3 linked regions of the Saccharomyces cerevisiae S288C genome follow. The protein of the gene in region 2 binds, or shares a complex with, the protein of the main gene of each other region. Each region holds a gene or a part of one and is shown on either strand. Other genes may lie near its edges.

Evidence for each region. The genes of interacting proteins can lie anywhere in the genome.
Region 1: MRPL32 (region 2) and MRP20 share a complex: the UniProt entries of both Saccharomyces cerevisiae proteins name them as parts of the mitochondrial large ribosomal subunit.
Region 3: MRPL32 (region 2) and MRPL31 share a complex: the UniProt entries of both Saccharomyces cerevisiae proteins name them as parts of the mitochondrial large ribosomal subunit.

What each region holds. Positions count from the first base shown.
Region 1 is NC_001136.10:1,276,027-1,278,937, reverse strand, and holds MRP20 (mitochondrial 54S ribosomal protein uL23m MRP20), read right to left. Parts: upstream 1,293-2,911; coding exon 501-1,292; downstream 1-500. Other genes in the region: DNA-directed RNA polymerase II subunit RPB7, read left to right, coding at 1,769-2,284; DIT1 (Dit1p), read right to left, coding at 2,726-2,911. UniProt on the Saccharomyces cerevisiae protein: Component of the mitochondrial ribosome (mitoribosome), a dedicated translation machinery responsible for the synthesis of mitochondrial genome-encoded proteins, including at least some of the essential transmembrane subunits of the mitochondrial respiratory chain.
Region 2 is NC_001135.5:116,850-119,750, forward strand, and holds MRPL32 (mitochondrial 54S ribosomal protein bL32m MRPL32), read left to right. Parts: upstream 1-1,770; coding exon 1,771-2,322; downstream 2,323-2,901. Other genes in the region: septin CDC10, read right to left, coding at 531-1,499; YCP4 (flavodoxin-like fold family protein), read right to left, coding at 2,726-2,901. UniProt on the Saccharomyces cerevisiae protein: Component of the mitochondrial ribosome (mitoribosome), a dedicated translation machinery responsible for the synthesis of mitochondrial genome-encoded proteins, including at least some of the essential transmembrane subunits of the mitochondrial respiratory chain.
Region 3 is NC_001143.9:184,786-187,394, forward strand, and holds MRPL31 (mitochondrial 54S ribosomal protein mL60 MRPL31), read right to left. Parts: upstream 897-2,609; coding exon 501-896; downstream 1-500. Other genes in the region: HSK3 (Hsk3p), read right to left, coding at 18-227; CMC1 (Cmc1p), read left to right, coding at 1,172-1,507; APL2 (Apl2p), read right to left, coding at 1,675-2,609. UniProt on the Saccharomyces cerevisiae protein: Component of the mitochondrial ribosome (mitoribosome), a dedicated translation machinery responsible for the synthesis of mitochondrial genome-encoded proteins, including at least some of the essential transmembrane subunits of the mitochondrial respiratory chain.

The sequences.
Region 1 (2,911 bases), on a different chromosome or scaffold from region 2:
TAGCAGTATTCTTTTCCCTCATCGTCTTACCATCGTGCCATACCTTAACCCCGGCACCGTGCGTTGCAGATCCGCCCCTCGCGGACCCGCTCGAGACTCTCCGCGGAACGAGCATGCGGACGGCTCCGCGCCACTGTCTCCGCAGGCATCCGTGCATGGCATCCCGCGGAAGCGACCCTGAAAATAATAAGTAAAGCAACCAATGTTCTTGCTCTTTGCGCGAACAAAAATAAAAAAAGAACAGAAATACAGGCCACCTTCCAGGGCAGGGGAAGGGGATGCCATCATCATTCTTTTCTTCCGTAAGGCATGTTCTACAGCCACTTCATATATTTTTGCGTTTGTTGCTCGGAAAAAGTAATGTTCTTAATTTTCTTTCTTTTTTTTTTTTTCTGTTTAGAGATTATGTAGTTTGCTCCGTATATACAAGTGTGAGGGGTGCAAGATGCTTATCTGGGTATTTGCGTGTGGGTTAACGAAGGGGTGGAATGGGAAACCTTCTAATGTAGATCTTCTATGTACCTGTTCAGGGCAATTAGTTTATCTGCGCGCTGCAGTTCGGCGGCGTGACGCTCTCGCTTATTGTCTATCTCTCGTTTTAAGAAGCGAGGTATAAAAGGCTGGGCCACCCGTTCGTAAGGCCCCACGACTCCGTCGAATGCTGTGCCGGGTTTGTTGGCGTCTGAGCCCAAGCAGTTAAGTCTTTCTTCACGGTACTTTTCCATGTTGTCAGGCGTGGTGCTGTCCCAGAAGGAGTTTTCGTCCGGACGGGGTTCTTCGGGCCAAATGAAGGGTTCTTCCATCTCGATAGTCATTTTCTTGATCTGCGGTTCTCTAAACCGCGTCGTCTGTAGGTTCATACGGTTAAACTTCCCATGAAGCAGCTGCGTCGTAATGTTCATTGCTCTTAAGCCGTAGATATGATAAAGATAGTCTCTGAGATCCAGTTTGTTGAACGATTTTGGGACGATGAATTTTGCTTGATACGGTGTGTGCTTCGCGTTGGGCCTCAAGAGGATGATCCTGGCCTTGGGAAAGTAGACTTTGTTACCTCCAACTTTGAAATGCTCCTTTCCCTGCTCTATGCCCGCCTTTGTCCACTTATAAATCTTCTCGCTTACGTTTATATCTACTTCGCGATCGCTGCCGCTTTTGTCGAGTATTTTGGAGGAACTCTCCACCACTGAGGCTAGTGATCTTATTGGAACCTGCTCTGGCTTGCAACTTCCTACTGCAAGTGTTTTTTGCAAAGGATACAACATATTCTTCGTTCCAACCGTCAATCGTGGCATATTCTGTGTTGGTGTTGCGTACTTTTTATTTTTATTTTATTTTTTTTTCTGTTGGAGCCTGCTAATCAAAGCACATTATTTGTTAGTAGCGTTACGTTCTCCACAAGAAATGTATGTACATTTCAAGTTCTAATACCATCGTTTTCCCTTTTTCATCGAGAAAATTCGTATAACGCGATTACGTATTAAGTGATCTTCTGTGGGTTTCAACGGCTATTTTGAAAAATACAAGGAAAATAAATGCGGTATTCCTATATCCCAGTGAAAATGCCAATAACGTAGACAAGCTCACTTCGTCGATTTATTCTCTAACATTGGGTCGATCAGGTCTGTCCACCTATCTCTTCTCCCAGAATATCATAGCCTTTCTTTTTCCGTTTCTCCTCCTACACCATTCTCCTTTGCGATTAGACAGTGGGAAAGTCCAAGAATAGATTCACATTTCAACCACTGTATAAATAACTCAATTTCTGAGAATGTTTTTTATTAAAGACCTTTCGCTTAATATTACCCTTCATCCGTCCTTTTTCGGTCCTCGAATGAAGCAATATCTAAAGACAAAACTATTGGAAGAGGTTGAAGGTTCGTGTACGGGTAAATTCGGATATATTCTTTGTGTCCTAGACTATGATAATATAGATATTCAACGTGGGAGAATATTGCCCACAGATGGGTCCGCCGAGTTCAACGTGAAATATAGAGCTGTAGTTTTCAAACCATTTAAAGGGGAAGTAGTGGACGGCACAGTCGTTTCATGTTCTCAGCACGGGTTCGAAGTGCAAGTAGGTCCAATGAAAGTATTTGTGACAAAGCATCTGATGCCTCAAGATTTAACCTTTAATGCGGGTTCAAACCCACCATCATACCAAAGTTCCGAGGATGTCATCACCATAAAAAGTAGAATTAGAGTTAAAATTGAAGGTTGTATCAGTCAAGTGAGTTCTATTCACGCAATCGGTAGTATCAAAGAAGATTATTTGGGTGCTATTTAATCACTTGTTACTCCGCAACGCTTTTCTGAACGCCCGCCTTCGCCTTTCATTATCATTCTCATCCCAAAAGAACTGTGCATGTTATTTGCAATACTTCATATACGCTCTGTATTATTAATAGTATCATTAATTACGTCAATTGAAATTCAAAATATCATCTTTGACAGTAACATCTATCCTCTTAGACAACTAGGGCCATTGCAGTGTCTCGAAACCATTAATATCACTGAAAAGATGAAAAGAAAGGCAAATATATATTGATCACTAATTTTCTAAGCTAAAGAATCTATTCCCCCTCTGTTAAATGGAATTGTGTGAAATAAAATATTATAAAATCAGAACTTTGGGGGGGAAACATAAAAAAATGAGAAAAAGAAAACGAACTAACTAATGTTTAAGTAAAAGAACAAAAAGGTAGACCAATGTAGCGCTCTTACTTTATTAAGAGATTTTCTTGATAACGAAATGTCCTCCTTCTCCAATATCGAAACGAGTATCTTTCCATACACCATCATACATACCCTTTTCGAGAGCCTCCTTGACTACTTTTGATTTTGTCAAAAAGTATTTCTCCTTTTCATCCTCAACCTTCACGACACAATTATGCCAAGGTGTGGGAATATGTAA
Region 2 (2,901 bases):
GTGTAGACGTGAAGTAGACATATGATAATCGAGCAGGGTGCTCAATTTGGTGTGGGACACGTTTGGGAAGGTTAAAAGAAGAGGTATATCCGGATTACATTTATTTTTGGCGTATTTTAATAATTTACTAAAAGCGCGAATAGCTTCCCATTAGCAACGCTCAGGGACTCTTTCTAATGTTTATAGTAATACTTTAATAAGATGAGTACCAATTGCTTCTCTATGAGGCACAATCCCTAACCAAACTTTTATTTAGAATTACCGGTAAACTCCGTTTTCTTCATAGATTAAATATTTGGCTAAGACAACAAAATGTTCTTTCATTTTACCAAACGAGAAGGTGATAGCTGTACGCCAGAAAAGAAGGTAAAAACTCTCGCCAATCCAGCAATACCTGTACCTCTAGTTTTCGATCGCATTATGTCATTATGTAAAACCAAGGAGAGAAGCAAGTTACGGTGTTTTCATATAGAATAATTTGAGAATTCTTAATAACATAAGATATATAATCACCACCATTCTTATGAGATTCAACGTTGAATGGCGTTGCTAGACATATGAGCTGAGGAACGACTATTCGCATTTTCTTTCAAGGCAATTAATTGTCTTGCTCTGAACCCTTCATAATGAATGTAGGAAGTTGTTTCGATTAAGTCTTGGAGATGAGTTCGAATCAAAAATTCCCTTAAATATACAAAATCACACTGGTTGATATCCTCAACATTAATAGCGCTCCAACGAGTTTTTCTTCCCCTGAAGGTTTCACCGTTTATTTCAATCTCATTCTCAGAACCAACCACTGCAAACGGAATGATAGATCTAACACTTCTGTTTAGTTCTAATTCCTCGTCAGTTAGTTCTTCCGAATCATAAGGATAAATCTTGAAATTGTATTTTTCGAATTCATTTTGAATAAGCTCCCTAAACTCCGTTCTTTCATCTAAAGTCAATGTATCCGACTTGCCAATAACTGGTATAACATTTGCTATTTCTGTCAATCTTTTCAAGGCTTCAACGTCAAGGCGGCTCAACTCCTTTCCATTTGGTTGCAGGAAATAAAGAATTGCATGAACTCTTGTATCAGTAATAAACCTTTCACGTTGGGCTGTCAATTCTTTACGTAAGTATTGAGAATGTTGTTCCTTAATGTACTTCACAATAGGCTCCCAAGCTTTAGAATTGTCAATAAAGTCACCAAATCCAGGTGTATCTATAACATTAATATTCAAGCGAACGCGGTCCTCCACAAGAGTATGAGTAGAAATTTTCATTTCAGTTGTTTTTGTAACAGGCAGGGCAGAAATATCATCACCAGTAGCAGAATCAATCAAATGTGAGGCAAATAACGTATTTATTAGAGTACTTTTACCCAATCCGGATTGGCCAACAACCATTATATTAAATTGAAAACCTTTCTTCAACAGACGATGTTCGATCTGATTCGTGATGGTATCAAAACCAACATAAGAAGCAGGCTGTACTGAGCTGAGAGGATCCATTAATATATTTATAGAGTGCTTGTAGTAACCGTGGGGCTTGGCCTTGTATTTTCTTGTCTTTGCCTGAAAAAAGTTAAGTATTACTGATACATGTTTACATATATTCTATTCAGCGATTCTGATCTATTTGTGGTCTCTCGAGGAAATCTCATCGTATCATACGATTATTTCCGCAAGCATTCAGAAAGCAAATCTTAATATAAGGCACAATGTTCCCAAATAATACCTTAACTTGGAGACAAAAACACCAGGGAATATCAGCAAACAAACTATGAATTCTTTGATTTTTGGTAAACAATTAGCATTTCACAAAATTGTGCCTACCACTGCAATTGGGTGGTTGGTACCGCTAGGAAATCCTTCACTGCAGATTCCAGGCCAAAAACAACTGGGATCTATCCACCGTTGGTTGAGAGAAAAGCTACAACAAGATCATAAGGACACTGAAGATAAAGATTTTTTCTCTAATAATGGTATTCTACTAGCAGTTCCTAAAAAAAAAGTATCACACCAAAAAAAAAGGCAAAAACTTTACGGTCCAGGTAAGAAGCAATTGAAGATGATTCACCATTTGAATAAGTGCCCATCATGCGGCCATTATAAGAGAGCCAATACACTGTGTATGTATTGTGTTGGACAAATAAGTCATATATGGAAAACGCATACCGCTAAAGAAGAAATTAAGCCGAGACAAGAGGAGGAACTTTCCGAACTAGACCAAAGAGTCCTATATCCTGGTAGAAGAGATACCAAATATACCAAGGATTTGAAAGATAAAGATAACTATTTGGAACGTCGCGTTCGGACTTTAAAAAAGGACTAGGCTCATCTTTCATCTAGTGGTTTCCTTTTTAAATAAACTTAAGCCTGTATATAGAAACTTAATTTCAAACTGTATATTTATTGTTTAAGACAGCATCAATGGTAGAATACAAGGAGCGGAAACAGAAAGAAAAGTCGAAATAGAATTTTTCGCTTTTGGCTTAACAAAATGAGGTCTTTGAAATCAAGAGTTTTGCTTGACAAAAAACAACTATATTTCAAAATATTAGGAAATGATATTATTAGTACAAGGACTTACAGAAATATACTTTTAATATAAAAAGGAAAAAATAAAATAAAAAGAGTTAATTCTTTATTAATTTTCCAACGTCCTACATTGATATATCTGCTGAGATAGAATTAATGTTAGTAAGAACTAAATATTAGACGCGAACTGTTGTTTCTTACATGACAGTACAGCAGGATAATAATCCTTTGTCCTCCTTCTTTTCTGCAGTTGTAGCTGCTGCAGGTTTAGTTTGTCTCTTAGCCGCATCAGAAGTAGTGGTCTTCTTTTCAGTGGAGGGCTTGGCTTCTTTTGCAGGGAAAAGTTTTTTGGCGGTTTCGTAGAATGTTTTAC
Region 3 (2,609 bases), on a different chromosome or scaffold from region 2:
GTCTTACCTCTTATGCCTTATTGCGTTTTTCCAAGCATCTGCTCCATATAATAAATGTAACTACCTATCAACCAACTTCCATGTACCTTACCCAATTGGCCTACCAAGTTTTCGTTACATTGTTTCGACATGATATCTAGTTGTTTTGTCGTTTCCTGTAAATTCGTTTGAAGCTCTCTAAGTTCGTGTGCAAGCTGATTATACTGCCTTTGTTTGTTAGCGTTCATTCTCTTGCCTGAAATTCTTTGTGTCCTCTTCGTTTTGAAGTTCAAATGTTCTGATATGTTCTATTTCGCCATTTATCTTGTTGATCTTTCTTCCCACCTTTACAAAAAAATAACGTTGATTTCAATGGGCATGATATAATATGAGCAATACAAAACATCAAAGCCTTCTTAGGAGTGTTACTTTCAAACATGGATCTATAAACAAGTTATTCAATGATTAAACTATATACAGATGAAATTTTTATATCAATAAAACGATCTTTTACGTATCATTCAAAAGAATTTTGGGGCCTTTCTAATGGAAATCTTCGTCCACTTGGGCACCTTATGAATACCCTTCCTATAACCAACAGCTTTTTTATCAAAAGTCCAATATTTATCTTTAGAAGACATTTGATTCTCCTTTGGAAAGACTGATGGTTTGTTTAACAACCTTAACGATTTACTTCTTGGCTTGTATTTCTTTTTGCTCTCCATGGCTTCTTGATAAGTAAGACCTTTATCCTGACATCTTTGGACGTGGAGACCTAAAGTTAATTGCTTTATGACTTGATCAACGTTTCTTAATCTTTCCCTTTGACGGGTTTTTTGATGTGTGGACATTCTCCATGGAATTTTCCATAGTAGGCCACCAGCGACGGGGCTTGTTAATTTGAATGGGCCAAACATTGGAGTCTTATAACTTGGGTAGCCTTTTAAATACGTCTCCTTCCTACAAAGTACGGATATCTTTTTTCCCTCTTTGGCTTCCCTTTGTCCTTTTGTTATACCGTTCTCTTGAACTTTTTGAATGCTCTTGTACTTCTCCGATTATAAAGTTGAAAACGGAGTGCCCTGTATTTATACCTATGATAGTTTAGGAAGATTTAACCATAATTAAAGCCAGAGATACAAAAGTCGAATATCTTCAAGTTATCTGGAACAACTTTCATATATTTGATAAGATGGAGCAAAACAAAGATCCGCAGATGATCTCGAAACATAGTTCTAGGCTACCTATATGGGTGCTAAGTCCTCGCGAAGAACAACAGGCTCGCAAGAACTTGAAGACGGAAACATACAAAAAATGTGCAAATTTTGTTCAAGCAATGGCAGATTGTGCTAAGGCAAATGGAATGAAAGTTTTTCCCACTTGTGATAAGCAACGAGATGAAATGAAATCGTGCCTCCTGTTTTATCAAACAGATGAGAAATATTTAGATGGTGAAAGGGATAAAATTGTTTTAGAAAAAATCAACAAGCTTGAAAAGTTATGTCAAAAACAAAGCTCTACAAAATAAGCTGTGTTGATTGATGTTTTTGATTTACATCTTTTAAGGATTTTTTGATATATCCATTCTTGTACATAAATTATATACACACAGCCCAACAATAAAAAGGAAAAATTAATACGAAGGGTATATATGTATGGTATAATACTTAAGTTCACTACAACGGACGTTTATAGTCAGAATAAATCGAGGAGATCCTGTGACACTATATTGCCGCCCGAAACATCGGGATTGTTTTTACCACCAGAAGATATACCGTTTGAGTCGCCACCTAGTTTCAGCTCCTTCAACCCTTGTACAGCCTTGGTATCATTTGTATTTATTTGTGTGGCATCCTCAGATGGTCCGAAATCAAATAAATCATCCAAATCGCCTAAAGTTGTTAAAGTATTCAGCATTCCTGCATTTGTATTTGTTACATCATCTCTTTCATCAAAATCCAATAGCACATCATCGTTAGCCTTGCTAGAAATTTCATTTTTTGCCATGCTTTCTAATTCCTCTATATGTTTTCCTTTAACTATATTTTGAACATACTTTTTGCCTTTTCTCCTATTTGAGTCGGGCTTGAAATAAATGGAACTTATAGTACCCAATTCCATTAATAGTTTCTCTAGCACTTCTGGTGAAAACTTCTCCAGTGTATTGGAGATCATTGGAAGTTTATTTTGACATAGATCATTAACCAAACTTTCATTATTTGGCATCGAAAGGCATCTCCAATACATCATAGCCATATCTCGCACATCTAATTCATGTGTCTGTTGTGTGGCCAATTCTAGGACGCTTTGTAGCATACTACCCGTTAAAGTAGCATGTAGTCTGACTATTGTCATTAGTAAAGACATCTGTGTTAAAGCTTCCTCTTGAACAAAGTTCTCTATAAAAATATTGATTTTTGACTCCAAATCTGAGAAATTGTTGGGATGCTGTCCTAGCAACCAGACATAGTTGCACTTCGCAATATCTGATTGTAATAACACCTCTGGATTTGACCAAGTATTAAATACTGCACAAACTTGTTTGGCCATCTTATCGTTTCCGGGGCAATGTCTTAATAAATCACATAATGATATACAGCAGTCGTCTTTTATTGTGTCTTGTCTTTCTA